2 linked regions of the Tribolium castaneum genome follow. The protein of the gene in region 1 purifies or fractionates together with the protein of each later gene. This does not show direct contact. Links are inferred from orthologs where the notes say so. Each region holds a gene or a part of one and is shown on either strand. Other genes may lie near its edges. The genes, in order: GlyRS and IleRS.

Region 1 (16,364 bases):
ATTTAGCACTCATCTTGCAATATTTTGCGTTGCAATGAAATTTATAAAACTCTGAGCATAATAATTAATAAAGTCCTTGTTGCATGTGAAATGCCTCAGCAAACGTTCTCTCTACCTTCAAACGGTGAGAACGATGTTAAATCGCCTTTTTACCTATTTGCCATAAAACAGATTTCCTTCGATCCTGAATAGGTAATACACAATGATTTTAACGATAGAAAGTATAAAATTATTACGCATGCACCTATCGTTCAAAATTTTTTAGTAAAATTAGTAATTGAGTAAATAATAATATTATCAGTTTGCACAAGGGAAATTTCTCTATTTTAAGGACAAGCTTTGTGACCATAAAATCTACAAATCCGACACGCACTATTTTAAAACAGTCCAGTGCATTTTATTACCTAGCTATCGTAAAGTACGCTCAGAAAATGAAATACACAACTAAACGGAACTTGAAAAAAAATCAAATTTGAGACTCACCCAATTGTTGTCCTTAAAAACCGACATTCCGTTTCTTAATTGCTTCACCATAGATAAAGCATTTTAATCCACAAATTTGCACAAACTTTCTCACTTTGAAAAAATCAAATTCTCAGACAAGGCCAACCTGTTGGTTGGATTCGCACCAAAACAAAATATTAGCAAAGTCCATACGACCGCACAAAATTAATCAGAGCAGAATAATCGAGCTTATATGGTCGATTTCTCAAATTACGCCCAATTTACTTTAATAAGAAGCGGCCGTTAGTGACCCTTGCCTCTCCAGTTAACCTATGTTGAAAATTTACGTTATGACGCGCATTGTTAATCAACAATCTAACAACAAACGTGAAAAAGCACTGGCAGTGTCGCTCTTTCGACGATTTGTAACTACCTGCCGCGAAATGCGGACTTTCTAATTGGTAGGAAACGACCACGTGGTACTCGACATCGTTTCACGTTGTTGGGAGAAGCGCCTTTTTGTCGCTAAAAACCAAAAGGGGGGGCCTTTGCCCCCGTGTCTTTAAACAATTCGGTTTGGGCGCAATTTTGCAAAAATGGGATTGTTCGAAATTGGCGCGCTCCAGGCCGGTCGGGCGAATCTAGTGACTTTGGCGTGTCAGCCTGACGCAACCGTTACAACTTCACGCAGTTTCCCGGTCTGGACTGGAGTGTTTGGACGTATTATTTTATTTAATTTAAATTAATACAGCCCGAAATGACTCAACAAACGTAAGTTTTGCTTTCTTGTACTAAAAAGCGTTGAAATTGGACCGTGATTGACTCAAATTTCGGTTATTTGTCTCGAATTTTTTCCCAACAACGGCCATGTTGTGGCATTGTGTATAATCGATTCTGGAACATTCGAAAATAATCGTAATTATGATTGCGATTTACGATGAATGCTTTAAACGCGGTTGAATATTTACATAAAAGCACGTTTTTGTGATTGGCGACGTAACGGTTGGTGTGCTAAAATGGCGTCTCTAACCTCACTTTTAGGTTACCTCCCCCAGTGATGTGGGCCCAAAGAACTGGCGTAGTTTTTTTAACGATAAATTTAGAGGACTGTAAAGACCCCGATGTTAAGTACGAGTGGTTGCGCTGTGAGGAACGAGTGGTGACGGGTTCTGTTGCAGATTCACGAAAGACTCTGTATATTTCAAAGGCATTGGCGGCGTTGAGAAGAAAACTTACGAAGTCACAATCCCCCTGTATAAAGAAATAGACCCGGAAAAGAGCAAAAGCTTCAATAGGGGCCGGTGTATTGAAATAATCTTAGTTAAGGCAAGTTCAGACGATTCCTATTGGCCTGCGCTGACTTCTGATAAAAAGAAGCACCATTGGCTAAAATGTGACTTCAACAAGTGGCAGGACGAGGACGATTCGGGTGACGAGGGCGTGGGGGGCATGGGCGGAATGGGCGGCGGCGACTTCGAGGAGATGATGCGGCAGATGGGAGGCCTGGGGGCCGGCGGGGACAAGCCCTCCTTTGATGATTTAGAAGATGGTGATGGTGCTGATTCAGACGATGAACCTATTCCCGATCTTGAATAAGCACTCGAATTACTTCTTTCCTTTTGTATCTTTTCATTTGTTAAGTTAACAATAAAATGTTTAGTGGTATCTTCGGATTTTATTTCTTTGTTCAGTGTTTAAATGTGCTAAAGTTTTCCTTCCAACCGTTCATCATGTGTATTATCAAGTATTAAGTGAATAAAAAACATTTGTAGGTACCAAGGTGTTTAATTTCATTCAAGCTTATAATTATAATAAATTAAAACTGGACAATTCCCTCAAACTCCTTTGCTTTCCTGTTGCTCGAACTTCGGGTATTTGCCCTCAATATCGGCCCATGATTTTTTACTGTACGACAAATCGTGCAAAACTGTCGCAATATCGTCCAGCTACAAACAATAGATGGTGAAACCACTGCTTTAATTTCGTCCGAGAGGGAGCCACGTTACAGTTACCATGGTTATGTTAATTTGGTAACTATGGTAACAATACATATGGCGCCATAACTACAGACATATAAAGGTTAGGATACGAAACAACGTACAAATAAAACGTTCGCGAACTCGATAGTTCCATCAATATCGCCAGAGGGAGCAGTTGTTCCACAAACAAAAATGGTATTTATATAACGATTAGCACAAGGCAAACTAAAAAAATACAGACAGATAGAGCATTAAATTATCATTAGTAAGAAATGAAAATAATGCAAAAATTTTGACGTAAACAATAGTTAATAAAATTACAAACTTAAACCAATTTGCACTCCGCCCCATATTTTTCAAAACGCTGTGAATACAGTTATTGATAAAAGAAGAGTTTTAAGAAGAAAGTTGTAGAGAATTAAATTTCCTATAAAAAAGTACTGCAGGTTCCGGATTTTGTATCTCGTTTCGCCTCCTAACTTATAGTATAGTCCTCGGTAACCAAAACTTACCGGAATTCTGACTTGCGCCATAGAATCGCGCTCTCTCAAAGTCACACTGTGTGGTTCTTTGAGTGTATCAAAGTCAATTGTGATACCATATGGTATAGCGATTTCATCAGTTCTGGCATATCTGCGTCCTATAGAACCAGAACTGTCGTCTATTTTGTGTGAAACGTCGACTTTTGTTAGGGCAGTAGCTGAAACAAATTCGTAATAATTGCTATTATTGCATCAAATGACTTACATAGTTGTTTAACAAACGGTGCAAATTCCGCATTAGAGCTTAGGGGAAGTACACTACACTTTAACGGTGCTATTGAAGCGGGCAGTGAAAGATAAGTCCGCTGTTCGTCATTCTCACGCATTTTGAAATTGTGTTCGAAGATTGCGTACGTTATTCGTCCCACACCTGTTCACAATAAATAAAAAAATTCTTTTCGTTATGAATTCCTTACCAAACGATGGTTCAATAACACTAGGAATGATTTCTTCCACATGGAGCGTCTTTTGGTAACGTTTTACAGTTACCATTTCTTTCGTCAGAGTGAACTTTTTATCATCAATTGTTAATTCGTGTGATCTAAAAGCAAAAATCTTCTATAATAGGCTACATCCTAAAATGAAAAAAAATATAGGGTGTTTAATTTTTAAAAACAATTTTGTATTGTAGCTAATATCTTAAACACCCGGTATACTTGAAGATGATTTTATTTGAGTCAGGGGGTCACTAAAATTTAAATATATTTATTTTTTAAGTTATTTACTTAAAAATTAAATGACTGCTTAATGTCATATTAATTTTCTCCTCATCAAAGTTTTTAAACCTTTAAAAATCATTTCACATTGTGTTTTGTATGAAACACCATGTTACACACAAATAAAAAATCTTGTCATGAGATTGAATTTTTAATTTAAAGTTTAAGTCATCGATATGTGTTAAACCAATTATTTTTTTCAAATGCCTATCTCTAATAGAATTATTGCCAAACTGAACAGAGACCACATCATTTACGATTCTATTGAACGGACAAGGACAGACGACTCATTACAACTCACCCATTACTCTCTAAATCCTTTTCAAGAGCTTCAACTTCCGAAACTTGTAATTGTGTGAGCGCATCCGTGATGATTTTCGCATCCTTCTTGAAAGTTTTTCCTAAAACCCCCTTATTAGGGGTCGCCTCAACAACATCGACAATTTTCGGCTCAGCCAATTTTTTTTCCGCCGCTAATCGAACTCCTGTAGCTTGAGTGTGTTGTGTTAAATCAAAGGCAGACCGATCGGCACAACCCACACACTCTATCCAACCCTACAAAAAAATTGACTCACGAAATGAATACATTTTTTTTCTCCTCCTGTAACTTACATAGCTTGTGAGACACTCGGCATCCCAGCAATCTTGCGCATAATGGGCCATTTCGTTGGCCATATGCTGCCTAAATCGCAACCGTTTCTCATCAACGCCACATTTAACCAAAAATTTGTGGATACGTGCGATAAAATACCCCAAAGTCGCGTTAGCCACCAATCCCTAAAACGGAACCACCTTTTTTTCAGGCATTTTGCCAAAAATTTTACCAAACCTTATCCACAGCTGAGCCAATTGTCAGTTTTTCCGCCGGTTTTCCGTCCATTTGGTTACAAGCGGAGTACAATAATAGTTCAGTGTCCCGAATGCTATCAAATTTCGGGTGATTTTTATCAGCAGGGTCGCAAAAATGCTCGATTTCGGCCATTGTAAATTCACGGACGCGAATCAAACCAGAACGGGGGGAAATTTCGTTGCGAAAAGCGTTTCCTTTATAAAAACATTACATTTTGCTTTGAATCAAATTTGTGATCAAAATGATCCGTGATTTTGAAATTACGTCGGCAATACCGGACACAGTTATGATTTTCATCTGTTGATTTGGGAAATTACCACATTTGAAATAATAATAATAATAATAATAATAATAATAATCATAATAATAATAGCGGGGGTAGAAACCCTTAATCTGTGCCACTTGCGGTGCTTGTAAGTTTGAATTAGTTCCTTTACAAAAAATGTACTCGTTTACAACATATTAGCTGTTTCAAAACTATAAAAACGCTAACGTCGCATTTTACCGAATTATTTTTTTAAATAAGATTTGTAAAATAGTAAAATAGTTATTAATAAATATTAGCTCTTACTGAAACTATAAAATACATTAGCTATTATTTATTATTTTTTTGAAGTGCATGAATAATTTACAAAAAGTAGAGGTTTCATTTAATTTTTTTAAGTTATTTAACTTTTAACAAACTTAATAATTTTTTTAAGTTCTTAATTGCAATGCCTGGTACCGATTTAAGTTTGAACTTTCTCCTTTAAAGTGGGGGGAAGTCCTAGGTACTTTTCAAGGAACTGTCTATGTGTAATGTTTTTTTAAGTGTGTTTTTGTCAGAAAAACCTAATTATTTCAAATACTAAGCATTAACACAAATTTTGGTTAAAATCTAATTTTCTGAGAAAATGCGACGTTGGCGTTTTTATAGTTTTGAAACAGCTTATAACTATAGATAATACACAGGGATCATTATTGCATTGATCAAGTGCATTGAAATCGACTAAAATAACAATTTTTGATTAAAAAGAGCAAAAAGCGGGCAAATTACAAAAAGTAAAATAAAAAACTCGTATTATAACTAACGCTAACGCCACTCGTTTTTAATATACCTATTAAAGCATCAAAATGGCAGAATTTACAAAAAAAAATATTTCGAAAGCGGTAACACAGGGTGGCCCAGCTCAGCTTCCGTCTTCTGTAGTTCAGTTATAAGTAAAGTTGGACTTTCGATATTTTGTAGACGTTATTTACACCCAAGGACGTATTTCAGGAAAACATTTTGTGAATATACATACAGTGTCCCAAAAAAAGGATGACGTCAACGTATTTTTTTTATTCGACTGTATCATTAGATAGAATTTTTCGGCATGAAAATCTGGACCAAAACCCTTCTTTTTCGGACGTGGCCGAGAAATATTTTTCGGCCGTTGAAGTATTTAGTTTCAAATCTTTAATATTATGCCCTTTCATACACTTCTTTTGATTTTTGCGGAAGCAACTCTATCGAAACTTGATTTGTGGCATCTCGCACTTTAGGGACAGAGAACATTAACTCGTCTTCTCACATGTCCGTAAAGTTTTTTCAAATCGGTTCAGAGATTACTTTAAAGAAATAAAAACCAAAAAATCGGTTGTACACTTTTCGTTAAAAAATTAATAAAAAACGAGGAATGTTATTTGATGACATTATTACTAGGTACGTGTTGAACAAGGTCTAAAAGATTTATTAATTAGATTTGATTGCTCTTAATTACTACAGGGGGTTTACAATTAACTTCCAAACTTTTTAAACTTTAGAGCCTTTTATTTTGCTTATTTCAAATGTCAACAACCCCTATTTATTTTTATACCATTCGATGGGGAATTAGAAAATGAACATTTTTTCTTATTAGACCCTAACGTAAATCTTAACACATTCCGAGTTATGTGATAAAAACTTGTTTTGTCAAGTATTTTAATGACAAATTTAATGAATAAAAGTCGAGGATATATGTAGTTTCGCTCGGTTTAGTTTATTTTTAAATAAAAAATCACAAAGATAAATTAAAAGTCATTATTTTTAGCTTTTTTAACCCTTAGAAACTCTTTTTTTCTGGGAGATTTTGCTAAAACTCTGAAAAATCCTACAATTACTATTGACTATAAAAGTGTGACGTTTAAATCTAACAACAATCGTCTGCCGTTTAAATAAAGTTAGTATGAAAATGAATATTTAAATGTGTTGAATCTATATCAGTTTTTTATTATAACGGATAGATTTTTTTTAATGTTTGTTCTAATTTCTCAGAATTCAATATTTCTTGTGTTTCGTTTTCGCATAAAATTTACGCTACTTTAACTCATTTGAGTCATGTATGTACTTAAGTATGTATGTACACACAAAAACATTTTTAGGTGTTGGGTAGATTAAAAAGCTGAAAACCCACCAGGAAATCATTCAAGAGTTTTTCCCATAAATGTCTGAAATATGGGACAATCATTCATTTTCTACCACACACTTAGGTTTCTTTACCGAAGAAAGGTGTCATCAAAGTATATTACACTTAGATGAGAGACGATACAACAAGAAATAGTCTGAAGATCGCCAGAAACAATGATCATAGCAGATTTTTGTTGGTTAAAAGTTCAATTGAAAATATGCAAAGGAATAAACTATAATTTATTTTATTAATATGCAATGAGTTAGATATTTTGAAATGATTTTTAGTATTTTGGAACGACGTATAACATTACTTGTAAATTATCATCCCAATCATTAAGTTCTCAGTTATGCCTTTATAAAAAGCTAATATAAAAAAGTTTATGATACAAAATTTATGTTATTAAATTTAAATTCAGGAGCATTCAATTTATAACAGTTACGCAGAATAATAAAAGAAGGAGGAAAAAAAAGTATTTTTGCAGACCAGAATATTTACTGTTGCCAACGTAATTTCAATCACGGGTTACTTTGATGAAAAAATTGGTACTTTATTAACTGAAAAACTACAAAACTCACCGATTTGAGCGGCAGCAAAGGGCAAACGCCCTTGGTTGAACTCCAAAAGTCGTTTGAAGTTAACAAAAATGCCTTGTGCCGTCTCTGGACGCAAAAACCTTAAAAAACAAATATTGTAAAGTGCCCTGTGACTTCGAAATTAAGTTGGCAACACTGAATAATTCAATGGTGCTCACTTAATCACAAGCCACTATCAATTTTGTACCCTTTGATAAGTCCCGAAGGTCCGATTTGCGTTCCAAACATTAGATTAAACTCAATGGGTTCTGTGAGATCATTCCCCGTCAGAGGGCTCTTCATGTTGTATTTCTGCATCACAGCAGCCATTTCCGCTTTCGTCATTCCATCCAACTTTACAACAATGTCCTGGCAATCTGACTTGACATCATCTGTGGTCCTCTTATCAGCTGAGATTTTCTCCAAATGGGCTTTTATCAAATGATCCAACCTAAAACACTCGCCAGTCCCCACGTCTTTAACCATAAGATCCGCAAATCTGTCAACATGTCCGGACGCTCTAAAAATAAAAAATAATTTACGTTTTTCCCCCAAAACCACCACGTACTTTAAAACGGGCTCAGGAGTGAGAATTGAACAATCAACCTCCAACATTTGCTCCTCCAATATGAAAAACTGTCTCCAGGCTTGCAGTAAGTTGGCCTTGAACGCGCACCCCATTGGCCCAAAATCAAACTGACCGGTGATTCCCCCATAAATCGCAAACGACTGGTCGTAAAAAAACCGCCTTTTCAACAAATCCTCCATTTTAGCCCTGTCAAAAGTGGCAACTTGTGGGGCCAAACTCAGCTCTTTCTCCTCTAGGATTTTTTTTCGAGCGTTCAGCTCCGTAACGGCCTTTTTCACGTCCAAAACGGGGGCCCCTTCCGCCTTCAATTTGCGAACCAAATCGCCCTAAAATTTGCGATAAATTAACTGACAAAGAAAAGGCTGAAACCGACCTGTTCCTTGACACTGGCCCTCAAGGGGGCCAAAATTTCCTCCATCTGGGGGTCCGCCATCGAGTCAAAATACAACTGCAATTTTACGTTTCGGTGCTTCTTGTTAATGCCCCACTTTTTCGACGAGACAACTGAACTGATGCAAAGTGGTCGAGCGGTGACACAATTTCTAACCAACAAAGTGGACAAGACTGACAAGTGGCTAAATTTGGCGAAACACTGGGAAATATGGGAGAATTTCATTGACTGGATTGGTAGAAAACTGCCACGAGGCAGACTTTTTTTAATTAGTGCAAAAGTGAAAGGAATGAGCACATGTGCCGGCTGGGAATTTCGGTTTATTTGGTGGGTGATTGGTACTGTTCACGAGCGGGGTTTTCAAAATAACTCAAAAACACTCAATTTTGAGACAATTTATTAAATTAATCGGGCCACAGTCACGCAACACATCGCCCAAAAGTAAAAAGACACATAATTGGCGTCATTTGGATAGCAAATAAAGTTCGTAAACGGCGTTAAACTGATTTTATCGCCTAGATATAGCACAGGAGTGTACCGGTAATAAAGCGATAACAGTATTAACAACAAGGCAAAGACCAACTTGACACCGTACGTGAAACCCAACTGTACGACAAAACTGTTGGTTGGTTTGTCCCCTTTTATCTGTTCTAGTTCTCGATCAATCACATTGATGCGTCTTTGAAGCTTTGAGTATTTTGCAAACTCGTCCACCATACTGAGAGATGACTGCTCATTTTTTAACGCAAGTTTCTGGAGCTGCAGCTCCCTTTCTTTCCCTGTTTGCTTATTCAGCCACTTAAAAACCTGCAAATGGAAATTAATTTAAACGACCACATGGGCCACAGAACACTTACGGGTTTTTCGATTATTGTTGAATGGACACTTAAAAAACTAACAATCGTCGAAATTAACAAAACAGGAATGTTGAAGTAACACTCAGATTGTGACTCCATGACTTGACAATTGGTTTAAACGGAGGTGGAAAAGTAGTGTTAAGGTTTACATTTTACATTAATTAAACAATTATTAGTGTTTTTTAAATGTTTACAAGGAAATAAAAACCTGACATGAAAAACTAGTGTTCTGGTGTCTTTAGTTCTACGCCACTGGCACCGCTGGTGACATTTTTGTGATTGTGTTGGTGGTCCTACAATTTGAATTTCAACCAAGTGAATTAAAAGAGAATTTCTCAATAAAATTAAATATTAAACCGAGATTTAATTTTAAAGTTTCGTCTGGTGTAGTAATTTTAAACATAATAACTCTTGCAGTTAATGGAATATTCAGAAATAGGAAATTTAAATGCGACTTAATTCACAGTTTTTTGTGGTGTGCTAATAATCTTTATTTCTAAACCAGAAAAGATTAAGCAAAGAGGAAAACACTCTGACTAAAGACTATTCTACGGAGGACTATAACTTAGGAGACAAGATACAAAATCGCAGGATTTTCTGAACCCAAAAAAAATAGTATAGCGGAATATAAATGAGGGCGCTCCGAGCGTTATATCACATCGTACTTAGAAAAAAAATGCGGAAATGTTGAGCTTTACATTCCCAACACATTGAGAAAAACTGATGACTAAAATTTTCGGGAGAAACATGAGAAAAAAATTATTTAAAATTTAAAGTTTGAGCTTATATCCCATTTCATTTCATTGTAGAATTTTGCAACAACGCATTTGCATTTTTTGGAGTTTCTGGTGCGTTTTCTTGGCTCAAAATTTGTCGCTGGAATTTAGCTTAACACAGAGTTCTTTTCTTATTCAGAAACTCCCAATTTGTGCAAAATTGTGCCAAAAAAATCTATTATGAAATAAAATAGGATATAGTCCCGTGTTTTTAAAACGCAGCGAATCCGGTTAAAGATACAAGATCACACAGTCGTTAGAAAGTCGCTTTGTTTTCTGTTTGAATTAATTGAGTAGAACTGAAAGATGTGATCTTTTTGTAGTTTCTTCTTCTGAAATTATGGCGTGAAGACCATTTCATTTCCGCCTACAGATAAATAATTAACTTTTTGAGTTTGAAAACAATCGGAGAATAAATATTACGGAGAACTATAATATAGGAGACGAGACGAGATTTTTTGAACCCAAAAAATTAGTACAGTAGAGTAAAAATGAGGTCGCTTTGAGCGTTATACCATCTCGACCCAAATTGTTTTAAATTAATTTAAACTCAACCAATTCACTAATTACTTGGAAAAAATGCAGAAATGTTGAGCTTTGCACTCTTAACAGACTGAGAAAAACTGACGACTAAAATTTTCATAAGAAACATAAGACAAAATTATTTAAAATTTAAATTTTATGGTTCGTCTCGTATTTTTTGAAACGCTGCGAATCCGGTTTAAGATACAAGAAAAATCTAAGGAAGAAAGTTGGAGAGAATTAAATTTTCTTTAAAAATGTCATATAGATCATATCTCTATCTTCAACGGTTTAGGCCCTAGAGACTTTCAAACGACAAATTCCTTTAATTTTATCAGTAGTGGAGTAACAATATACCTAAACTGTTGAAAATAGAAATATGGTATCAGTGACTTGTTTATAAGAAATTTAAAGAATTATCGCTTAGAAATATTGATTTGCGTCCCATCTTATATTTTTGCGAACGCTGCGAATATAGTTGAAGATACAAAAAAAGTGTAAGAGAATTAAATTTTCCAAAAAAAAAATCCGAGTTTTTTTTATTTAATTTTATTGTCAGGCAAACCACTTTAAACAGGTTTCATTTGAGTAAATAAACGTCACTTTTTGTGGAATTGCGTAGAGTTGGCAATGCTGATGGTTATTATGAAATGGCACAATTGAGTTAACTTTTGGAGCCAATTTTTGAACGTTTTCAATTTGTCGTCACTTGACGGAGCAACAAAAGTAAATAAATACAAAAGCTTCCACAGTGATAATATTAGATATCGATTTGTCGGTGTAAATAAGTTATTAGCAAACATTTTAGTATTATTTTGGCTAATAGATGTAGCCGCAATAAAATAAATAGCTAGAGCAAAAGCCAATATTGTGCAACCGTTAAGTAATAAATGATTTAATCGTCGTTTCCGGGCAATCAACTGTCCTATCCTCATTTTCATTGTTGTTATTGAAAGAAATTGCCTGGCAACAATACAATTCAACCCTAATGTCGATCACGATATAAACGTTTTTAAAACTTGAGACACAGTTTATTGTCAATGTATCGCACGATTGATCACACTACACCCACAAATAGGACGTCCAAATCATTGTAAAGATTAAGATTAGTAGCTTTCAAACTACTGAAGCACCAATCTATAATTTAATTTAGTTGGATCAAGTGTGTAAATTTTTAATAATTTAATGAAAAGTGCGAGTTTGATCGATATCGCAATCCCCAGGTGATAATTTTCACACACCCTGATAGCACTTACCTGTTATCACAATAATTAAAACAGTCGCTTTTTGGTACTGCACACGGAAAGATAACCAACAGGTAATTGTCTCAATTTACAAGAATATTTTTTATCGGTTTTATGCGCAATTAAATTGTTATCAAACAACCGCAACGCCCACATCTTAGCTTTTTGATAATTTCCAAAACAGTTACTTTCCTATAAAATTGCGAAAACTCCCTTGATTTATTGCAGAAATACCACACGTTGCGCTAGAGTAAGTATGAATCATCTTTGCCTTGAAACGTTTCAATGAAATTATTTAGTTTAACGAAAACTGTCTTAATTGTAAGTCGTAGCATCATCTTAACCAAAAATTCCGCCGTTTGTTTTAGTATGTTTCGGCCGAAGAGCGCAACATCTCGCCAAGAGTCCGAAATGGCATCGAAGAGCCTCCGGGAGTTGCAAGCTCTGGGTGCCGGGGGCGATCCAGTCCACCGTTTGCGATTACTGTGTTTGTCGCGAGGAGCGAACGGGATTTTGGGAATGGGTCGCATGTTCCGGAGAATGGACGACGATGGGAGCAAGCAGCTGAATCAGGATGAGTTTGTCCGGGGACTCCGGGAAACCGGACTGGAGTTGACGGATGAAGAGGCGTTGGATCTTTTTAAAAAGTTTGACGACGATAACAGCGGGAGTATTAACATGACTGAGTTTCTAGTGCACTTGAGGGTGAGTTTTTTTGTGATATCAACTGATTGTGGTGAAAGCACGCGACAACAAATCTAAATAAGGTCGAAAATAATTCAATAGATTGGTCGTAAATAATTTTCAAGATAGGGGGAATCAATAACGGGATATATCGTCAACGTTCATGAATAATGGTACACTGGACGAAATACTTATGTATTGATTATTACATTATTTGTGTATAAAAAGTGAGAAAAACACGTTATAATCTGATTATAACATTAATGATTTTTATATGAAACATGTTTTTTATTTTTACTTTTAACAAAGTATGTAATAAAAAAGGGCGATAAAAAACATTTTCAAAATGTGTGGGTTCAAAAGAATTTTCGTTTCGACTGTTTGTAACACTGATATAGATTATTATAGGATTTGATTGCTTTGGGCAACCGGAAGTTCCACCAGTTGCACCGTTTTTACGTGAAATTCAGGTTTGCCAACTCACTTCTTGATCACCTCTGCTATTACAATATTAAAATTATGCAAATGGCTCTTTTATAAATTACAAGTTAGAATAAATAATAAGAGCTTTTATTTATTCTAATGCCAAGAAAGTTACAAAAAATGTTTTTTTCTTTACTTCTTACTTTGTAAATAATATTTTTATTTCCAACCCTGGTTTCGACCCAATTTTAAAAATGCATTTTCAGGGGGCTAGAGAGGGGTACCCATAAAAATTCTTTGTAAAATTTGTGGTCTTTACCTTTTTAGAAAAGGCATTAACCATTTCAGATTGCTATTTTTATTAAATTTTACTCGTTTAGTTAAGGCTGAACTGTACTATACTGAGAACAAGTAGAACTGGGGTAACACATTTTGAAAAAAAAACGGATTAAATTGCTTAGGTAAACAAAAAATTGCAAGAAAATTAAATTTTCCAAGGATGCAAACTGTACGCCGAAGAAAAGAAACAAAACATTTTGACTACAGACACCTTATGTTCATCTTAATCTTAAAGTTGTGCTAGAATAAATACAAAATTTACGTTTTTACAAAATTTTGGATCAAGTTGTATTTGCTTTAAAAATAATGAATTTGGACTTTAAAAATTCATTTATCAGAAAATATTTTGCAGGAACCCTACAATATTTTAGAATACTTTTTTATAAACAATTAAATTTCTATTTTCCCAAATACAGCAACAATAACTTTAGGAATTTTACTTTCATTATCATTTTCTTACACGCCATTTTAACGTTTTGTGACAAACTTAAAAAAAATTAATAAATATTTTTTTGTTGCTTTATTTATTGGATTTTTTTTATTATATCAGTTATACTCACTTTTACCCCAAATGTCTATTACTTCTTAATTTGAAAAAATATAGCGGGTCTTTATAAACAGATAACAAACCTGCACACAGGCGAAAACACCATTTGTGTAAGAAAAAACAACTTTTTGATGGCCACTTTATTTTTCTTTATTAAAATGTCATCACTATATTTTTGTATTTATATTTTTTTCATTTTTTGTATTTTGACCTAATTATGTTACTGTATTTTAAACATTAAACTATTGAGTTTTAAAAAGTCGGTTACAAATACTATTATTATGTGATAATTTTAATTTATAATTAGAGTAGGCTTTACTCTTTATAATATGTTTTTAAATTATATGAATAAACCTCTGATAATGATAATTAATCAAGCAGAAGTATCTACTAATAACATACCTAATCGTTAATTATAATACATTTTCCCCCCTGTTTGCACTAGTTTATCAATCACAAGGAAAAAACGCCTACTCTTATTATAAACTCAAATGATCGCATGATCTTTAAAACGAAATAAAAATTGGCTTGTGATGAAACGACATCCCATTGTAAAAAAACATGTTACCTATAATTTTTTTCATTAGAAATATAACTTGAACGTAATTAAAAAATTAAAAACCATTTCGTTTCTGTAGAAGTAAAAATTTTACGTGAAACGGCGAGCGTAAAACTCATCATGTTAAATTATTTTGCAATTATTGTCAATAAATCATACATGTTGTTACGGTCTTCAACTTTGTAACATTTTTAAAAATCGATTAATGTAGGTGTACACATAATAGTGACAATAAAAGCACTGTAAATAACAATTTTCTAAGTGCAAAGTAAAAAAGAGCTTAATAGACCCTTAAATAAAAAGCGTTTACCGTAAACATTATTTTTGTAGTTACCTATAGCTTTTAGATAATTATTTTGTGTTATCTTCAGAGGGTGGAAACAAGCATTTTCTTCACTGCAATATTTTTTACTTTTCAGTAACATCTTGGAATATTTATTATTATTAGATACTGCTTCCGTTAGATTAGACGCGACATTTTTTTACGAAAAATGACATTTATTAAATTTGATAATTCTTACTACACTAGTAAACCACTCACCAACCCATTTGGAAATTATGAAAAATATTTTTTTTATTTTACTGAATTATTTGTTACAAAAAATATTGTACCTAACTTATTTGGAATGTAATTTCCTACTCCCTTCGCTCATGCTGCAAACAATCAATTGCTCGTAATTACGTTACTTAGAGGTAAAATCTATTTCTGATTAATAAAATGTATTAATTATTTCACGTTGCACTATAATTTTTTCACTCGAGTGATAATTAAAAAACTAAAAGTATTTCAATTATTTGGGGAAGGTCGAAATTATAATTTTAAAATATCTCTTATTTTGTAAGGACTGTGGATGCATGCAAACGTGGTCTTCAACTTTGAAACATTCAAAAAAATCGATCGTTAAATTAATATTGATTGAAAAAGTTTCATAAATCATTTCATACGAAGTTAAAACATGAAACACCTTACTTTTCCAAATTATTCGCCAATGATTTGTCATTAAATCATCAATACACAAAGCTCCAAGACTCTTAAATTCAGTAAATAAGCGACCACATTTCGCGTAAACACTACTTAGATCAAGGACTTGTTGCTTGTGACCTAGTTTCTGAATATTTTATTCCAGCCCCCAATGTCTGAGTCACGCAAGAAAGTCGTTGAAGAAGCGTTCAAGAAAATGGACAAAACGGGAGACGGAGTGATCACAATAGACGATTTGAAAAATGTTTACAACGTCAAAGCCCATCCTCGATACATTTCAGGCGAAGAAACTGAGGAAAATATTCTGAAACGATTTCTAGCAAATTTTGAACAGGACGCCACCAAAGACGGACAGGTTGGTTAATGAAGATTGAACAAAAGTTTTAATTAATTTCTGTAGGTAACCCACGAAGAATTTTTTAATTATTATTCGGCCATCAGTGCCTCGATCGACAATGACGGCTATTTCGACCTAATGATGAGACAGGCTTACAAACTGTAATAATGAACCCAGTGCTTTGCAATTTTTGAATTTTTAAATTCACTATTTATAACTCACTGAATACGAAGTTTTATTACTCGAATGTTTCCTGTTGTATTCCTATATTGTAACCGATCTATAGATTTAAATACATGTATTTCGACTATCATGGGATTTTTTTTCAATTCTTAAGAAAACAAATCGAAAAATAAAAAACTGTTTATTTTTGAAAAATACTGTTTTACAAACAAGAAAATAAATGAGTACTTTCACAACCCAGTAATGCACTCGTACCTAATATACCGGGTCATACCACATGATTGTTTGATTGGCAATAACCAATGCTGCCAACTCAAATTTTCCCAAAACTACTAGTGGACGTGTAGAGATTCCACGAATAGATGACCAGTCTTTAATTTATTTTGGAATTTTCGTGTTGCAATTTCCATGTAAAAT
Region 2 (16,243 bases), on another chromosome or scaffold:
AAGTACACCTGCCCGAATCGTGAATGTGTCTTCCGTGGCTCACAAATGTAAACCCGACCTTGTCACACCGATTAGATTACGACGTGTAACATAATTCAATTTCCAGACGGTTGTATCGACTTCGAGGACTTGAATTGGCAGAAACGCAAATACAGCTCACTGGGAGCGTACCAGCAAAGCAAATTAGCCAATATTTTATTCACCAAAGAGCTAGTTCGAAGACTTGCAGGTTGATTCAAATTGCAGGAGGAATTTGTTTTCAAGTTGATTTTGCAGAGGCAAATGTAACAGGAGTCAATGTGTATTCCCTCCACCCTGGAGTCATTCGAACTGAGTTGGGGCGTCATTTGGATTACAGGCTTCGTTGGCTTTGGCGTATTTTCTCCTTTTTGATTAAAACCCCCGACCAGGGGGCTCAAACAACAATTTACTGCGCTGTTGATGAAAAGTGTGCCAATGAGACTGGCCTTTATTACGCCGATTGTGCAGTGGCGGCCGTCGCTCCCGCTGCACAAAATTCAGTCGACGCTAAGCGTCTGTGGGACGAAAGCTTGAAACTTGTAGGACTTGAGCCGAACTATAATCCATTTACAACCGTCTAAGACTTACGAAGATATTCTTTTAGTTATTAAATTTGATTAAATGATAGGCTATTATGTAAAACACAGGTGATATCTTGTACGTTCATGACACTCGAGTAAAGTTACAAAATAATCAATATTTTTCGTTTGCGTTATTGGGGACTAGAAGGTTTTTCGCGTCCCTAATTCCATCAGAAGGAAATGAGCCGGTAATGATCTTAACCTTCAGATGATAAAAATTAATATTTACGGTACTTTTGAACTTGATTATTCAATTAATCTTCGTCCGTGACCATAAGTGGCTACTCATTTGATTATTTACGTAGAAAAATGCACATGTAGATACAGTGGAAAAAATCGATTAGAAATCAACTGGAGATATCAGGCGACAATAAAAAATAATTTGGCTAATTACAACTATCCCTATGCGTAAATTTGGCACTTAAACACGAGCCATCACAGTTTTTATGAAAATACAATAACTACTTACAAGTTTTAAGCATGACCTGCCCTAAATCTTCAAAGAAATAAATATCCCTTTGTTTTTTTGGTGTAATTATTTATTCCACAGTAAGTTTTTAGGGAAACAATAATTATTTTACTTACTTATTTTTTACCCATTTAACCTGATATACTCTTTGAAAATGATAAATCCCCTCATGAGACTGAAAAAAAAATCCGCATACGAATTCATAAAACGTTGCCACTAAACACATTTTTCTAATACCTGTACTGTTTAGGTCAAAATAAAAAAGTTGACAAGTTTTAGAATGCAAATGTTTTTTTTACTTACGTTAATAACATAATAACTGGTGAGGTAAGAGGGCCTGAATGAGAGTCGGTTTATTTAGACATTTTAGATTTTTTCCAGTGTTGTTGTAAGCTGGAGTTGCAGTCCTTGGTTGTAAGAGAATCCAGTTTGACGGGGTAGCGGGAACCATTCCGGTTTTAATCCTTTTAGTTCCTACATCTGGTAACAGTGCTAACCCATGTATTATTTTATCTATCTATTAAATTTGTATACATATGAGGTGTTGACCTGACTATTGATGAATAAATAAAAAAGTGATGAAATAAAAAAACAGAATATATAATATAGAATTTTATTGTTATCATTTCATTCATGATTACTCATAAAATGTACAATAAAATGAATAACAGATGGATAGAAACAAATTATATGAGCAATAGTGAAATCTCTGTCATAAAAAGGACCAAGCAAGTCCAACACTTAATGATTACTCTAAAGTCTTTCTAGTTTATGGCAAATATACAAATCCAGAATAGCGTAAGTATTCAGGTGAATAGAGCCCTTGGGGGCAGGCAGCTTTGTACATGAACAGTGGATGCCAACCCTTAACTGCACTTGAATTCGATGAGTACACACGAAAATGTACAAAATTAACCTCACATTGTTATTATTGCCAGATTACTCATTAGTAATATCAAAAATAAACCAAAATACTCTGTTACACACACACTCAGCACCACAATTGCTATTTAGGATTAAAGTATGGCGGCTGTTGAGTGTGTGGAGGTCCAGGTCCGGGCCCCATCGCTTGGCCCCCCATTTGGCTCCTTGTCCCGGTCGCGTACAACTGCTGCTGGAAGTTATGGTACTGCTGAGCGTAGTTCGGATCTGAGGTGGTCGGACCCACAAACGGCGAATTTTTGAAAGTGTTGTTCTGGCCCATCGACGGTGGTAGCGGCTGGGTGGCGTCCGGTGCCCCCATGCCCATGGGGCTGCCTTTCGGTCCGCTGACGAACATCTGGGCATTCGGATTGCCCATGTTGGGGGGGCCTGGGTTGAACATCTCGGGAGCTCCAGGTGCCGGCCCGTTGAAGCCCATCTGCGGCATCCGCATCATTCCGGGTGGCCTCATGGGGCCTCTCATCATAGGAAGCATTCCGCTCGGCATGCCCATGTTGCCACCCATCATGGGCCCGGCGCCGTTGCCCATCGGGCCGCCCATCATGGGGTCGGGCTGCATGGGGCCGTCCATATGGCCCATGTGAGGCGGCATCGGTCCACCGGGGCCTTGCATGGGGCCGTTGTTGGGGAAGTACTGTAGGTTTTGCGTTGGCATTTTTGAGTCCATGTTGCAAAGGGGGTTCGCGAATCGTTGCAGGAAATCGAGACTAGGGGGCCCCCGGGGTCCCGGCGCGTTGCCCACTTGGGGCTTCGCCGGGAGGTACTGAATGGTGTTGGGGGCGTTAGGTTTGACTTGTACGTTGGCTCCGTTGTACGGATTGGGCCCCGGTGGTCGACCCATCATCCTCGGCATAGGCAAATGGTTGGGGAAGGCACCTGGCAGTTTTGGCGAGAGAGAGCGAATGGGGGCCATGGGCGAGTTCGGATGGAACCCGTGCGGGGGTCCCTGCATGGCCATGCCCATCATGGGGCCTTGGTCCATGTCGGGCATGTTGTGGCACCCGCCCATGTCCATCATCTGCATCGAGGGTGAACCGAAATTCATCATTCCTCCCGGCCCTTGATTGCCTTGGCCGTTTAGCGAGCTCGCCACGCTGTTCGTCAACTGTTGACTCATCTGCGCCAGGGATGAGATCGGATCGAAATGCGAGACTTTCGGATTGCCAGTCATTGTGCTCGTGCAGTTCGGATTTAGCGGTACATTGTCACCACGGGCGCAATAATTCGGAAGTTCCAACGGACTGGGTTTGCCCGATGGTGAGACGTTCACGAAACCTCCTCCCATTTTAGCACCTGGAGAAGCGTTCGGACCCGGAAAACGAGGAACATCCATCATGTGAGGACTCGGAGTAGGAAATAAGTCGCCTTTCAATGGGTCGGATGTCGGACCGGGGGCTGTCTGCGGGCTCAGGCCGGGCGCAGAGGTTGGTCCCGGACCAGTCAGTCGCTGAGATTTATCACCTATACACAAAAGATGCAAAAAAAACGAATTAACTCGTCACTGGGGTGACTTTCGTTCAATTTTTCAACGTTACGACTGATAAAAACAAAAATAACTAGAAATTGGAAACACTGCAATTACTTTAAGCAATTTATTATGCAAACGTAATTTTTTTAAATGACTCTCGTTAAGAAAACATAAAGGTGATAATTAGTCTTACATGAACGTAAATAAAGCTTTTGTAATACAAGATTCTACATCATTTCCTCGTTTTTTTGATTTGCATACCTGTAGACGAAGTTGAAGGAGTATGTGGACTTGGTATTTGAAATCGGCAACCTTCAGCCGATACACCGGGTGTTGGGGGAAACCTAGGCCCTACATCTATTGATGTTGGAGTATTAGGTCCTGATAATCTAGTGTGAGGAAGATCATTTGTATTGCCTGGGAATCCACTATCAAGCGTTGTAGGCAGAATGCTGCAAAACAAGCGTTTAAATAAATAATATTTCAATGAAGAACAGTATTCCAGCTTAGTGTGTACAAATCAAAACAGTTTAAGCTAATTTATTTAGCCTAAACCAATTATAGCAGTGATGAAATAACTATTTGTTTTGTTATCAATTAGTTTTTTTGCTTGTTTACTTTTTATTTCAATGAAATAATAAATAATGAATGCATTTCTTACGGTGGAGATATAATATTTCTCTCTTTAAGACTTGTATTTGGTTGTTTTTGTATGATTAGTTCCTGTCCTTCGAACGTGTTGAGGTATTGTATTTGTTGCGGAGATGGAACAGGCATGAGATTAGGCTCCTTAGCCCCAGTGGTTGGGGTTGTAGAACATGAAGTCGTCGAAGTGTTCATTTGTTTTTGTTGTGCCATTGATTGGAGGGTGCGCCCAAACATTCCATCAACTAAAGAATAGCAAATGTAAGAATATTGTTTATTTGTGGATAATGACCGAACAAACCTGAAGACTGATGGGTTGATGTGGGTTCGGTGTTACTGCTATTTACACTGGGAGACAGATGTGACGAAACGGGCGTGCCAGGATTGCTGTGGTTGTGTCTAAGGGCAGAGGGAGAGTCCTGCGACGTGGGGCTTTGACCGGTGCTGACATGTCTGCCGAGGCCGAATTGGCGGTTGGGGTCGGCGGGAGAGTTGAGGGCGGAAGACGCCCTCGGCGAGGGAAGGGATAAATTAGAGGTGGGGTTATTGGGCGAGGCGGGGCTTGGGCTTTGCAGCGCAATCGGCACGCTGGCCGAACGCGGGGTTTGGTGGTAAGGTGGGGGCGGGCCCTGTAGGCGGGGCCCGGAGGTGGGCACGCCCCGCGGGGCGCCGGAACTTACGGGGCCGATGGGCACGGGTTTGGGCTGCTGCATCTTCAGCCATTCTAATTGGTTCGACATCAGCTGGGCGTTGGGTGGGTGTTGGGCGGGGCCCGTCGGCATCATGTTGTGGGGCATGTCTATGGCACTGGCGTTTCCCGGGGGCGGTTGCCCGTCCATCGCTTGGTTCTCGGGGAAGAGCATCTGCTGCATCTTTCGAATTGTTGCTAGTTGTTCTTCGCGGTGCTGCCGTTGCTGGGGGGTGAGGTTCTCATCAGGCACTTTAACGCCCTGCAGCGAGGGCTGAACGTTTGAGAGGGAAGGACTGCAAGCGTCCATGTCGGGGCCGACGTCAGGGAGGCCGTTGCTGACGCCTTCGAGTCCTTCGAGATGATGGTTGTTCTTCTGATCCCAGGGAAGATCGCCGTCGCCGAGGCCGATTTCATCTAGACCGTCGGGGCCGAGGAAATTATCGATGGAAGGCTGAGTTTTGGGGCCTAGACCAGGGCTGCGGGTGCAGCCTTTGTTCTTCATCATGGCTGCATTGAGCCATTGCGCGTGGTTCTGCCGGTTGAACTGGTTCACTTTGAGAGGGTTCTTCTCCAGGTACTTTTTGGTGCCCGGTTGGGCACAGTGGTAGGCAATGATCGATGCGTACCGGCCCTGCAACACCTCGTCGGCACCGGTGTTCGCTAGAACGGTCGAAAACACGAAAATCTGACTCTGCTGTTGCATGTACTGAACTTCCATATTTCCCGGTTGTTTGTTAATGACGTTGCTCGCGAGAGGTTGGATTCCGTCGGGGGGCGTCGCATGTGGAGGTGGGCCGGACAGCCCCAACGAGAATGCATCTCCAGGCAGATCATTGTCAATACACTCTTCAGTTTTTAGTGTCAGATTTGCAGAGTCTGCGACTGAAGTTGCCTCCTCACCTTCGGTTTTTCGTTCAGAGGCGTTCTGTAGAGAGCCTGTGTTTGTGGAGCCGATGATACCGCCGTTTTTGGTGACAGGACGGCCGGGTTCCTTCTTAACAGCACAGTTGCTGCCTGCTGCTTCATCTTCCTTTTTTATGCGGACATCCGTCGTCGAGGCTTCTTTATCGGAACTGCCGGGCTCCTCCTTCACGCTATCCGACCCTTTCTCGTGCTTTTCTTTGATCATTTCGTATTTTTATCACATACCCCTTCCTTTCATGCTGTACACACACTAACACTGCACTTGTATCATGTCCAAAACCGCGCAAAGTCCTTTATTCGACCACTAACATTTATTTTCAACCATTCCGTTTATTGGAATACCACTAAATTATCTTTCATATCACATATGTTCTAATGTTTTTATTTGCATTCCATCATTTTTTATTTTCATCTCTTAACCAAATTTGAAGAGACGCATACAAGGTGTTCTCGTCTTTCTTACCATTGCACAAACACTGAAAATGGAAGATTTTAATCTTCTGCTACCGTATATTTCTAATGACATGTATGATTGTTAGAATTTCAACATTTAGACCATAATAAAAACTTTTAACAAAAATCTCACATCACAAAATGCCAAACTGTCCACACGCGTTGCTACCAACATTGACATTTTTCACTAAATTTTAAACGTCAAATATCACTAGCAACAAGCACCATTTTCAAATTTATCAGAACCACTATAATCCCGATTTCATCAAATCAAACATCCAAAACCATAAATAAACGATAAAATAAACACAATTAGAAAGTTTATAAAAAAATATTAACTGAGCACTATAATTGTTACAATAAAAACCTCTAATCTTGAACTTCAAATGATAATTATTATTAAAGCAAATATTTCCATTTGCCGAAAATTGTCTTTAAACATTACAGTTACGTTTTACTTCTTGTGAGGTTTTAACGTAGCTATTTTTACTTCACTGTTTATTTATTTTAAAACCCGTCATTAATAGACGCAAAAATAGTAAACAATTCTCTCCACATACGGAAACATACGTGAGACCAGCACACTTTCAGTTTAATTTGTTAATTAATACCAATAAAACAAAGTACATTATCAAACAATTTTTTATTGACTTCGGAACGGAAAAATACAATATAAACACCCAAAAACTTAACAATATTCAAAAAGAAACTAAACTCTCCTTAAGCCAATTTAATCCACTGGTTTATGATTTCCTTGAAGTCTTTTTCATTTAAAGTTTCGTTCCCTGCGGGGTTTTCCAAGATCAACGTGCCACTGGTATTTTGTGCAACAAAATTAAAAACTTTGCAGAAAGGTACTCTGCTCATTTCGGGCAATTTAACATCTTTATTTGTCGGAATTACAAAAATTGTTTGTCCCGACAAGTTAGGTAATTCCTCTTGGGTTACTTCCTTGCCGTTGCTTTTCACTAGATTGTAATGTTCCACGCCAAAGAGTCGGAAAACCGACGAATGCAAATTATCTAAACTGACCGGCTTATTAGCCACTTCAAGCAAAGCTAAAGCTTTAGGAGATTGGTTACAGTATCTGGACTCGAGGCCTACAAGCTGGATATTAACCCATTTACTAGCCGGGATTACAATATCGGAAAACCGGGTCAGGACCAGTTGTAGATTACAGTTTTTCAGTTGTTGCACTTCCTCAATTATCACCAAGTCGGAATTTTGCTGCTGCTCGATTGGCTTGAACGTTGCTTTGATTGTATTCTCTACGAAATCGCAATAGGATTTAGCGACGCGATCTAGTTCACCAGTCGTTTTGTAAAATACTGAAACTTGGTCTGTTGGCACCAGATGTGCCTTCTTGCGCAACTTTTGGATACGATTTATTATCTCCCTCGCCGTGCCTTCATCTTGCATTGAACTGTCCGGCGTTATGTCCAAGAGAATCAAAACGTCGTTGTCGCTGTTGACTTCATACTGACTTGTATTAATACTCTCAGCTTTGAAGATGAGCCTAACTTCGGAAATTTCGATACGTTGGCCCGCCACGACCCGGAACCCGGCTTTAACCATTTCATTTATCTCAACATCGGTCAGCGCCTGTATTGCTGCAGTCACAGCCTTCAGTTCTTGCTTAAGCCGCTGCCCTAGGACTTTATAATCGGGCTCCGCCCTCAGCGTTATCCCGTATTTGCTTTTATCAGTCGTTGTGTTGATTGCACGCACGTTTAACTCGAGATGGATGTATTCCTTCAACGAGAGGATATCAGAAATGTACTGAGGGTCCTGATGGACAATTATAACTTCCGGCAACGGGTACTTGATCGGTATTGTTTTTCGGTCGCGCAAGACTCGCCCCAATTCTATCACACTTTGCATTCTGGCAACGGCTCGCTCAATATCTTTGTTGATCAACGCATGATTCGGCTGCGGTAACATCAAATAGTGAACACTATCGGCCGAAGTCTTCATCAACTTCTTCAAATATTGGTACATGGTCTCGGCCAAGAAGGGTGAGAACGGTGCCATCATTTTCACAATGTTTAGGAGAACCTCGAACAGCGTCAGTAGGGCTGTTTTACAATCGTCGAACCCGCCCTCACCCTTGAGACGTTTCCGGTTCATCCGCACGTACCAATTGGTTAAGTAGTCAATAAACTTGGTCAGCCTGGGAATAACGTTGTACAAGTGGTAAAGTTGCATCTCCTTCCGGACGTACTCTAGGAGCGACTGAGTGAACGAAAGAATCCACTTGTCCATGATATTCTCAGGCGCGACACTATTTTCAGTGTAGTAGAACGCTTGATTGTTGTCTTGTACAAAACTCTCAATATTTTGTAACAAGAAACGGAACGCATTGTACCACGGCAGGAACACATCTTTAAGAATATCCCTAACCCCTTCCTCCTTAAACCGCAAGTTTTCGGCACGCACCACTGGCGAGTTAATCAAATAAAGCCTCAAAGCGTCCGCCCCATACTTCGAAACGATTTCCAACGGGTCCGGATAATTCTTTTTCCGCTTCGACATCTTTTGCCCATCGCTGGCCAACACAAGCCCGTTCGCGATCAAATTCTTGTACGGCGCTTTCCCGAACAAAGCCGTCGAGATGACTAAAAGCGTATAAAACCAGCCCCTGGTCTGGTCGATCCCTTCGGCGATAAAATCCGCCGGGAAATAGTCATCAAACTCTTTACTAAACTCAAACGGGTAGTGTTTCTGGGCGTAGGGCATAGAGCCCGACTCGAACCAACAATCAAAAACTTCAGGAACGCGTCTCAACGGGGGATTTCCAGGAATTTTCGAGGGAATTTCAAGATGATCGATGCTTTCCCGATGCAAATCGGTGATTTTCTGACCCGTTAGTTGCTCGAGTTCGGCGATACTGCCAACGCAGACGAACTCATTGCCGCTTGGCGACGCCCAGATCGGTATCGGGGTGCCGAAATACCGGTTGCGACTGATAGCCCAGTCCCGGGCGTCGCGCAGCCAGTTACCGAAACGCTTGTCTTTGACGAAATCGGGCACCCAGTAGGTGTCCGCACAGGCCTTTTGCAGCTCCTCGGTCATGTGTTCCACGCGGACGAACCACGACGGCACCGCTTTGTAGATCAAGGGGGTGTCGGAACGCCAACAGAAGGGGTAACTGTGCTTGATCTGAAACAACAATTAGCTAGTGCTTCCAAACGCTTTGGACATTACTTGAGTTTGGTGCACGAGCCGGCCGTTGGTTTTCAAAGCCGCGATGATTTTCTTGTCGGCGTCTTTGACATAAAGCCCTTCGAACTCCACCACAGGTTTGACGAACCGGCCGCTGGCGTCAACGGGACAGATGGGTTCCTGGTCCTTGGTTATAACCCCAGCGTTGAGACAGACGCGGAAATCGTCTTCCCCGAAGTACGGTGCCTGGTGCACGACACCCGTACCCGACTCAGACGTGACGTAGTCGTCTGTCAAGACCCGGAAAGCTTTGTCTTTCAAGTGGGCGAAGTAGGGGAAAATTGGTTCGTAGCGCAGCCCCTTCAATTCGCTTCCGGGGAATTTCCGGATTATTTTATAATCCCCAGCTGGGAAAATTGTTTCAATGCGAGTCTCTAGCATGATGTAGCGCTTGGTGGTGCTGATTTGTTCAAACAGTACGTATTCAAGCGATGGGTTTACGCACGCCGCTAGGTTACTAGGGAGGGTCCAAGGAGTCGTTGTCCAAACTAAAAGCGCAGCATTGTCCTTATGACCGATGATCGGGAGGCTCACGGTGACGGCGGGATCAACAACATCCTTGTAATTCTGACCCGACTCGAAGTTCGATAAGGGGGTATTACACGTCGTCGAGTACGGCATTACTTTATTGCCCTGATAAACTAATCCCTTTAAGTACAATTGCTTGAAAACCCACCAAACCGACTCCATGAAAGTCGGGTAAAGCGTCTTGTAGTCGTTTTTAAAATCTGGAATTATCAATCAAACGTTTGGCCTTTTCGTCCAAATGATTACCAATCCAGCGTCCAATGCGCCCAATGATCCTCTCCCACTCGTCGGCGTACCGCATGACAATCTTGCGGCACTCGGCGTTGTATTTGTCAATGCCCATCTTCATTACATCATCCGGGCCCTTAATATCAAAAGTCTTGTCAATCTCGTACTCCACGGGTAGCCCATGGCAGTCCCAGCCGAACCTCCTCTCCACGTGGAAGCCCTGCTGGTGGGCATAACGCGTGACCACGTCTTTGATGGTCCCCGCCAGAATGTGCCCATAATGGGGCAACCCGGTCGCAAACGGCGGGCCGTCATAGAACGAAAACCTACAAAATAACTAAGGCACGTTCACTCGAAACCATGCCAAGTTACCGTGGCTTTCCCTTCGACTGTTTCAAGCATGTTTGGAACACGTCGATTTCCGTCCAATATTTCAGGATTTTTTCTTCCTCGGATGGGAAATTTATGGTTTCCGGCACACGGGGAATTTCTTGAATAGGCATGGTGCGAGCTATTTCACTAATTCAATAAATTATATCACATATTATGCTCGTGCAACGACACAACCTCAATTTTTCGGATGATGAAATTCACTGCCAACTGGCTTGGGGGAAAACGAAAACACCAGGAGAAATATTTTAAATATTTCAGGAATTTTATAATAATAAGTGACAAAACAAAACTTGCTATTGTGCCATTGACTTGAATGTTTCAAAAAATTAATTCAATAAATTTTATTGATTCGTTTAAAAACAATTATTAAAAATTGTAAGCTAGGCAAGAGGCGAGTTGTTCGAATGGTCTCGTGCCACTCACAGTGCGTTACGTGCGCACCCGAAGTGGTACAGTCCCGCTTGTTCATATTTCACATTTTGTTATTTAATTAATTCGGCCTGGATTTGCATAAATATGTAGTGGAATAGAATTTACATAAAATAAACTTTTACTTTGTTTATTATCTTCATTCGTTTGAATAAACTTGAAAATGCGGGGTTTTACAAAAGAACGCACACTCTAATTTGAGCCTTTTAAATATTCCGATCCTTTCTAATTATAACTTTTATATTTTAACGCAGATTATTCAATAAATATTAGCTGCGTGATATGTAAATGGTTGTGAAATACGTGGCTGTTACGTGAATGTCCCATGAAACGAATTTTGTTCCACCCATCTAATCCCATGTTATAAAAACTGGTGCATATAAAAATCCGCCCATGTCCCTTCCATGAGCAAGCGTCGTATTTTTTCTAAATGATAGGTGTAACTGTAATAGACCATAACTCCGTTATTTGGTCTACTGATCTAGTGTTCATATCTCGATTAATAGATGGAATATTGAGCGTTTTAAGGAGAGAAAAGCAAAACAGCGTCGAAAAAACCGTTTTATTATTAACGAATTCAAACAAACAATATCTCCAAATAAATATTTATAAATTAGAAACAATATCACAGCTCATACGTCACTTTTTAAAATCGCTATATCAAAAATAACATCATTTATCGCGCCATTTATGGCCCGAGTATTAACAAGTAAACCTTTTTTTAGCCCCTTTATCTCTTGGTATGAAGTGCAGTTGAGTGAAAACACGTTATTTCTAACACTTATTATAACGTCGTGTGTTTCCCCAATTAACACCTTGACGTGCATGTCGAATTCTTTTGCAACATTTCCGTTTTCTAGAACCCAAGTCCAGAGAAGTACATTTTCGGAACTGTTCTCAATTTTGAGGAAAAACGTGTTTTGCTGAAGTTGGATAACGTAACACAAGTCTTGCTCTTCCAAAATTTTGCTAAACTCGATTGTTATTTGCGATTTGAAATAGTGTACTAACGGTCCGTCGTGGCTTAACTGGAAGTGCTCGATTACTTTTTTTCCTGTGGACATAAACTTAGCTAACTGCTTATTATTACGAAAATGCGAACCTTTAATTAGGGACGTACATCCCGGCGCGAATGGGCAATAAAAAGCGATGTCTTCACCGGCGTTGTGCAACGACTCAAAGGAGCCGTGACACGACACTGAGCGAAAATTTGGGTTGAGATAATTTTGGTTTTTCTCATTTCGGCTCATCCTGTTCACGGAGTTCGTCCGTGACACCAAAGGACTCCCCGCGTCGAAAATTTCCTGGTTTGAGAGCGACTTTGTCCTCAGATTAAAGTCACTATCATTTGCGCTTCCGGACAGATTATCAACCGAGCTCGCTTTTCCGACAAGTCGGGCCAAAAATTTCGTTGTGTGGGACGGGGTCACTTTGATATCAGGCACGTTTTTCTTGGTTTTCATTTTGAAAATCTGATGCATTTTCGCGGTCCGACTGTCGTCTGGTTCTTCCCGCAGGTTGAAGGCGTCAACCAACGCATTGTAGACCTAACTCAGTTGAATATAAAAGCCTGGGTGAGGTCATAAGTCATAACGCACCTGGTCTGCTAGTAATGATCTACCTCTGCTGAATCTTAAGCGACAGATGGGGCACCTCTCGGACTTCGCCCTACAGCGTATGCAAATCAGGTGGCCGTTTTCGCACTGGTAGGTGGGTGGAGGGATTGTGTCTAGGCAGACTGGACACTCCAAAAACGCAAGAATCGTAGACATGCATGCAGACAAGCGCTGGAGGTTCGTTGGCATGGGTCCGCAGCAAACTGCCTAAATTTGGATTTGAGCTCAAAATTACACGCCGAATTTTTCGCCAAACAAAATTAACAAAAATTTCTTGACGACTCCGCAATGGAAAAACCAAATTCAACTAATAAATGTTAAGGAAATACCCGATTTTTAAAAAGCAATTTCAAAATTAGTTATTTGAGTTCTACTGTAACTGCAGTTAGGTACTGCAAGTTTTTTTGTCATGTCCCAAAAATTGCCAAGTAACTGGAAATTTCAAAGTATGGAGCGAACTCACAAGAGAACTATTATTTTCACGATATGCGGTAAGCTGATTCAATATATCGTTTGACGGGGAGGATACTTGATAAGATAAGTAACGGATGTGTTTAAATGTGAGAATGTTTAGCACTAACATGGAATTTTTATTAGCTGGTAATAGCGAAACAATGAAATAATTATGTAAATAGAAATGATCTGAGCGCTGACACAATTAGCTTCACGTAGAAGCCCCTCGCTAGAATTCTAATGAACGGTGGATTCTGTCACTAAAATTGGGACGCAAAGTGCATGCAAAAATTTCTAATTGCGGGTAAAACCGCAGAGACCGAAAGAAAGTCGGACGGGTCTGCGAAGAATTGATAAAAAGTGAGATGTTTGTTTTACCTCGGGCGTACACTGAGGATCGACACCGGCATTCCACAACAAAAGTGAAACTTGATTGGGCTTTGATTTCACTATTTCGGCCACTTCACTGATCCTCTGGCCCACGACATCCTCGCCGTTGACTTCCAGCAGGCAGTCCCCGGGCTTGACGCCCGCGGAGTCGGCAGCTGTGCCATCCTCGACAGAGTTGACCCACGGATAGGGGTCCCATTTGCTCCTGGTTAGGTGGAATCCGCAATTGGAGCCATTTCTCTCAAGAGTGATCAGCCGCACAGACGGACTATAGTGGTCTTCAACGTCTGTGTCACTCAACATGCTGGACTGCAATACTGAGACCTTTGCTCACAACTTTCATCATTATTTTCACCTTATGTTAATATGCTCAAGGTTTATCTTATTTCACGACCTGTTTGCCTTCGTCGAGTGTTTATTATCGAATTGATTTTTAACGCATCTTCGCATTCTTCGGCCCGAAGAATTACCATGCAGATTTATGCCTGCACCTGTGCGGCGCAAAACATTCGCATTATTGTTTCAAACATTGCAAAACAAAAAACCAGCAGATTCGTCGTTTGCCGCGTCCTTCGACCGCACATTAGCCTAAATAAATGTAATTCAGTGGAGGGTTATCTTGTGATTTTACTGCCACCGGCTAACACCTCACACAAGTGACACAGAAACGTTAGAGATCTGATGGTTACGCGGTTAACACCAATATGTTAACTGCTCAGATAAATAACTTTTCAAAAATCGCAATTTTCCAATATGTCTGCGTTATTTTTGATCGACTTACCTTGAATAAACGTGGGTATAAATTTTAACTCAGAAAATATCAAAGTCTATAAACATGTCCGATAGCGAAATTATAGCTGTTCGAGGGTCAAGCGATATTTTTGCAACAATTAGGGAAATTATTGTGTCATATCACAAAAAAGACAAATACAAAGACAAAGTCATTTTCGAAAACCATATTTATCCACAGTGTGGCATTTCTATTTTTCTCAATCGTAAAAATAGAAGAGTTTAAAGTCGAGTGCACGGGTAATTATAGCCTGATAAAAATATTTTTTCAAGTAACTAACGGTTTTCTTCGGTTGTTGTTTACAAGTGAAGCATTTTTGACTTGATTTTCATGCATCCGCCTGAACTTAGCAAAATATTAGCTCAAGAATAAGATAAAATCGTTTACCATTGGCAAAATGCGAAGTTCGTAACGGGACAAGCTTTATTGCTATCCTCCATCTGCTTACCGCGTCGTGTAATCAAAGACTGGAGTGCAGTTAATTAAAATAGAATTTTTCAATAAATTTTGAAAGAGTCCATTGTTGTAACAGTTAAGTTACACTTTTGTTCCCTTGTGTAATATTCATCGCTCTTCTTATTATTTATTTGCTGGAATCTTTCTCACATAATTAGCTTGCGATGACTCAACTCAGTGTTTTCTAAAAAATTTTTGAATCAGTGGAATAGCAATGCGTGCTTTTTGTAGTTCCACTTCATTAGTGGCATTCCCGGAATATCGACGCGTTTAATCAATCAAATTACTATTGTTGACATTCCGCGACAATTAGTCAGGGAAAAATCGGGCCGGCGTAGGTGAGCCCTATTTGCACTTAGAGCTGCTTAATTGCTGGGACGTATCAGGAAGTGCATTGTCTGCTTGCATGATTTCTTCACACGCAGTGATTGCAATGATAGATTGTAAAGGAAGATGCATTGTTAGGTTTTAAAATTTAGAAAAATTGTTACGCGATTGTTTTATAGGAAACCAGACGTCAGTGATTCTTAAACTGGGGGCCGCGGACTCCTGGAGGCTCAATTAAATGGAAGGAAACCAAAATAGCACTCTTGTAAAAATAACGATAAGAAAGCAATTAATTTTAGTACTTTTAATTCAAGTATGTTGGAACAATTGAAAACTGGTTAAATAAATTGGTCGTTTTTTTTGATTTGGTATTGTCTTAAAAATGAGTTTTTAATTTTTTTTAATCTAAAATGGGCAAATTGTGTAGTCACGTCCTCATATCTTCGTTCTTGATAAAGTTAGAAATTTATTTTTTTTGCAAAAAATTCCACAATGAATGTTGAGTCAAACGTATATGCGGAAGCTTTAGTTTTGATGAGCAAAACTGAGAAAATTGCAGTTTTCTGTGTGAAAGTTTCAAGATGCAAGAATCTTTTTATTCTAGAAGATAGACCCCTACATAATCGAGATGAAATGAAGCTTATGGTTCAATCAAGTTTCTGCTGCGAGCATTATTTCAATATAAAAATTTAGAGCAAGTTATTGTTTTTTTTCTGTTATGAACATTTCGGGGGCCAAAAAATGGAAGACAATCATAATCATATCACGTCAAAAACGGACCTAAATCGGCTAGCCGTTTTAAAGATGTGTCCATAAAAACACTCCGTATTTTCTTGTTCTAAGCGCCATTTTGTGATTTCACGTTCGTGTTTAAAAAAATTTTTAGCTCAAAAATGTAATTAAGCAGGCAAATTGACCAGAAAAACATAATCTTCGACATATTCGGCGAACATTTCGATAACTTTTCGAAGTAATTGTGTTTTTAAATCAACAACGTGCATAAATTCTTGAAAAACGCAATCGCATCTCGGGCTAAATTCGTCTTATTTTTCGCGAAATAATTGATTTTGGAACCCAGTTCGATAAATTTGAATTAATTCAATATGAACCATGAAAAATGCTTTAGATTTTTTTTTATTTTAATGCCATTGCTGGTGTGTGATGGTAGTGGTGGTCGAGAAGTGAAACGTGCCGAGTCATAAGAAACGTCGTCACAA

What was found.
Region 2: the proteins of GlyRS (region 1) and IleRS fractionate together in Homo sapiens (co-fractionation; 3 studies listed by BioGRID). This does not show direct contact. The link is inferred for Tribolium castaneum from reciprocal best matches to the Homo sapiens genes GARS1 and IARS1.

What each region holds. Positions count from the first base shown.
Region 1 is NC_087398.1:11,176,991-11,193,354, reverse strand, and holds GlyRS (glycine--tRNA ligase), read right to left. Parts: upstream 8,833-16,364; 5' UTR 8,720-8,832; coding exon 8,477-8,719; intron 8,430-8,476; coding exon 8,083-8,429; intron 8,035-8,082; coding exon 7,723-8,034; intron 7,616-7,722; coding exon 7,518-7,615; intron 4,726-7,517; coding exon 4,511-4,725; intron 4,459-4,510; coding exon 4,294-4,458; intron 4,237-4,293; coding exon 3,983-4,236; intron 3,507-3,982; coding exon 3,382-3,506; intron 3,336-3,381; coding exon 3,171-3,335; intron 3,124-3,170; coding exon 2,936-3,123; intron 2,391-2,935; coding exon 2,280-2,390; 3' UTR 2,210-2,279; downstream 1-2,209. Other genes in the region: p23 (prostaglandin E synthase 3), read left to right, coding at 1,486-1,572, 1,623-2,040; guided entry of tail-anchored proteins factor 1, read right to left, coding at 8,894-9,301, 9,352-9,450; calcyphosin-like protein, read left to right, coding at 12,263-12,598, 15,573-15,782, 15,828-15,929; Xxylt (xyloside xylosyltransferase 1), read right to left, coding at 16,326-16,364. UniProt on the Homo sapiens protein: Catalyzes the ATP-dependent ligation of glycine to the 3'-end of its cognate tRNA, via the formation of an aminoacyl-adenylate intermediate (Gly-AMP).
Region 2 is NC_087403.1:5,645,525-5,661,767, reverse strand, and holds IleRS (isoleucine--tRNA ligase, cytoplasmic), read right to left. Parts: upstream 10,794-16,243; 5' UTR 10,676-10,793; coding exon 10,545-10,675; intron 10,499-10,544; coding exon 10,191-10,498; intron 10,145-10,190; coding exon 9,399-10,144; intron 9,354-9,398; coding exon 6,915-9,353; 3' UTR 6,823-6,914; downstream 1-6,822. Other genes in the region: retinol dehydrogenase 13, read left to right, coding at 1-47, 107-229, 277-602; lgs (protein BCL9 homolog), read right to left, coding at 2,078-3,474, 3,743-3,933, 4,143-4,371, 4,428-5,946; uncharacterized protein LOC662426, read right to left, coding at 11,627-12,048, 12,097-12,541, 12,593-12,817, 13,442-13,756. UniProt on the Homo sapiens protein: Catalyzes the specific attachment of an amino acid to its cognate tRNA in a 2 step reaction: the amino acid (AA) is first activated by ATP to form AA-AMP and then transferred to the acceptor end of the tRNA.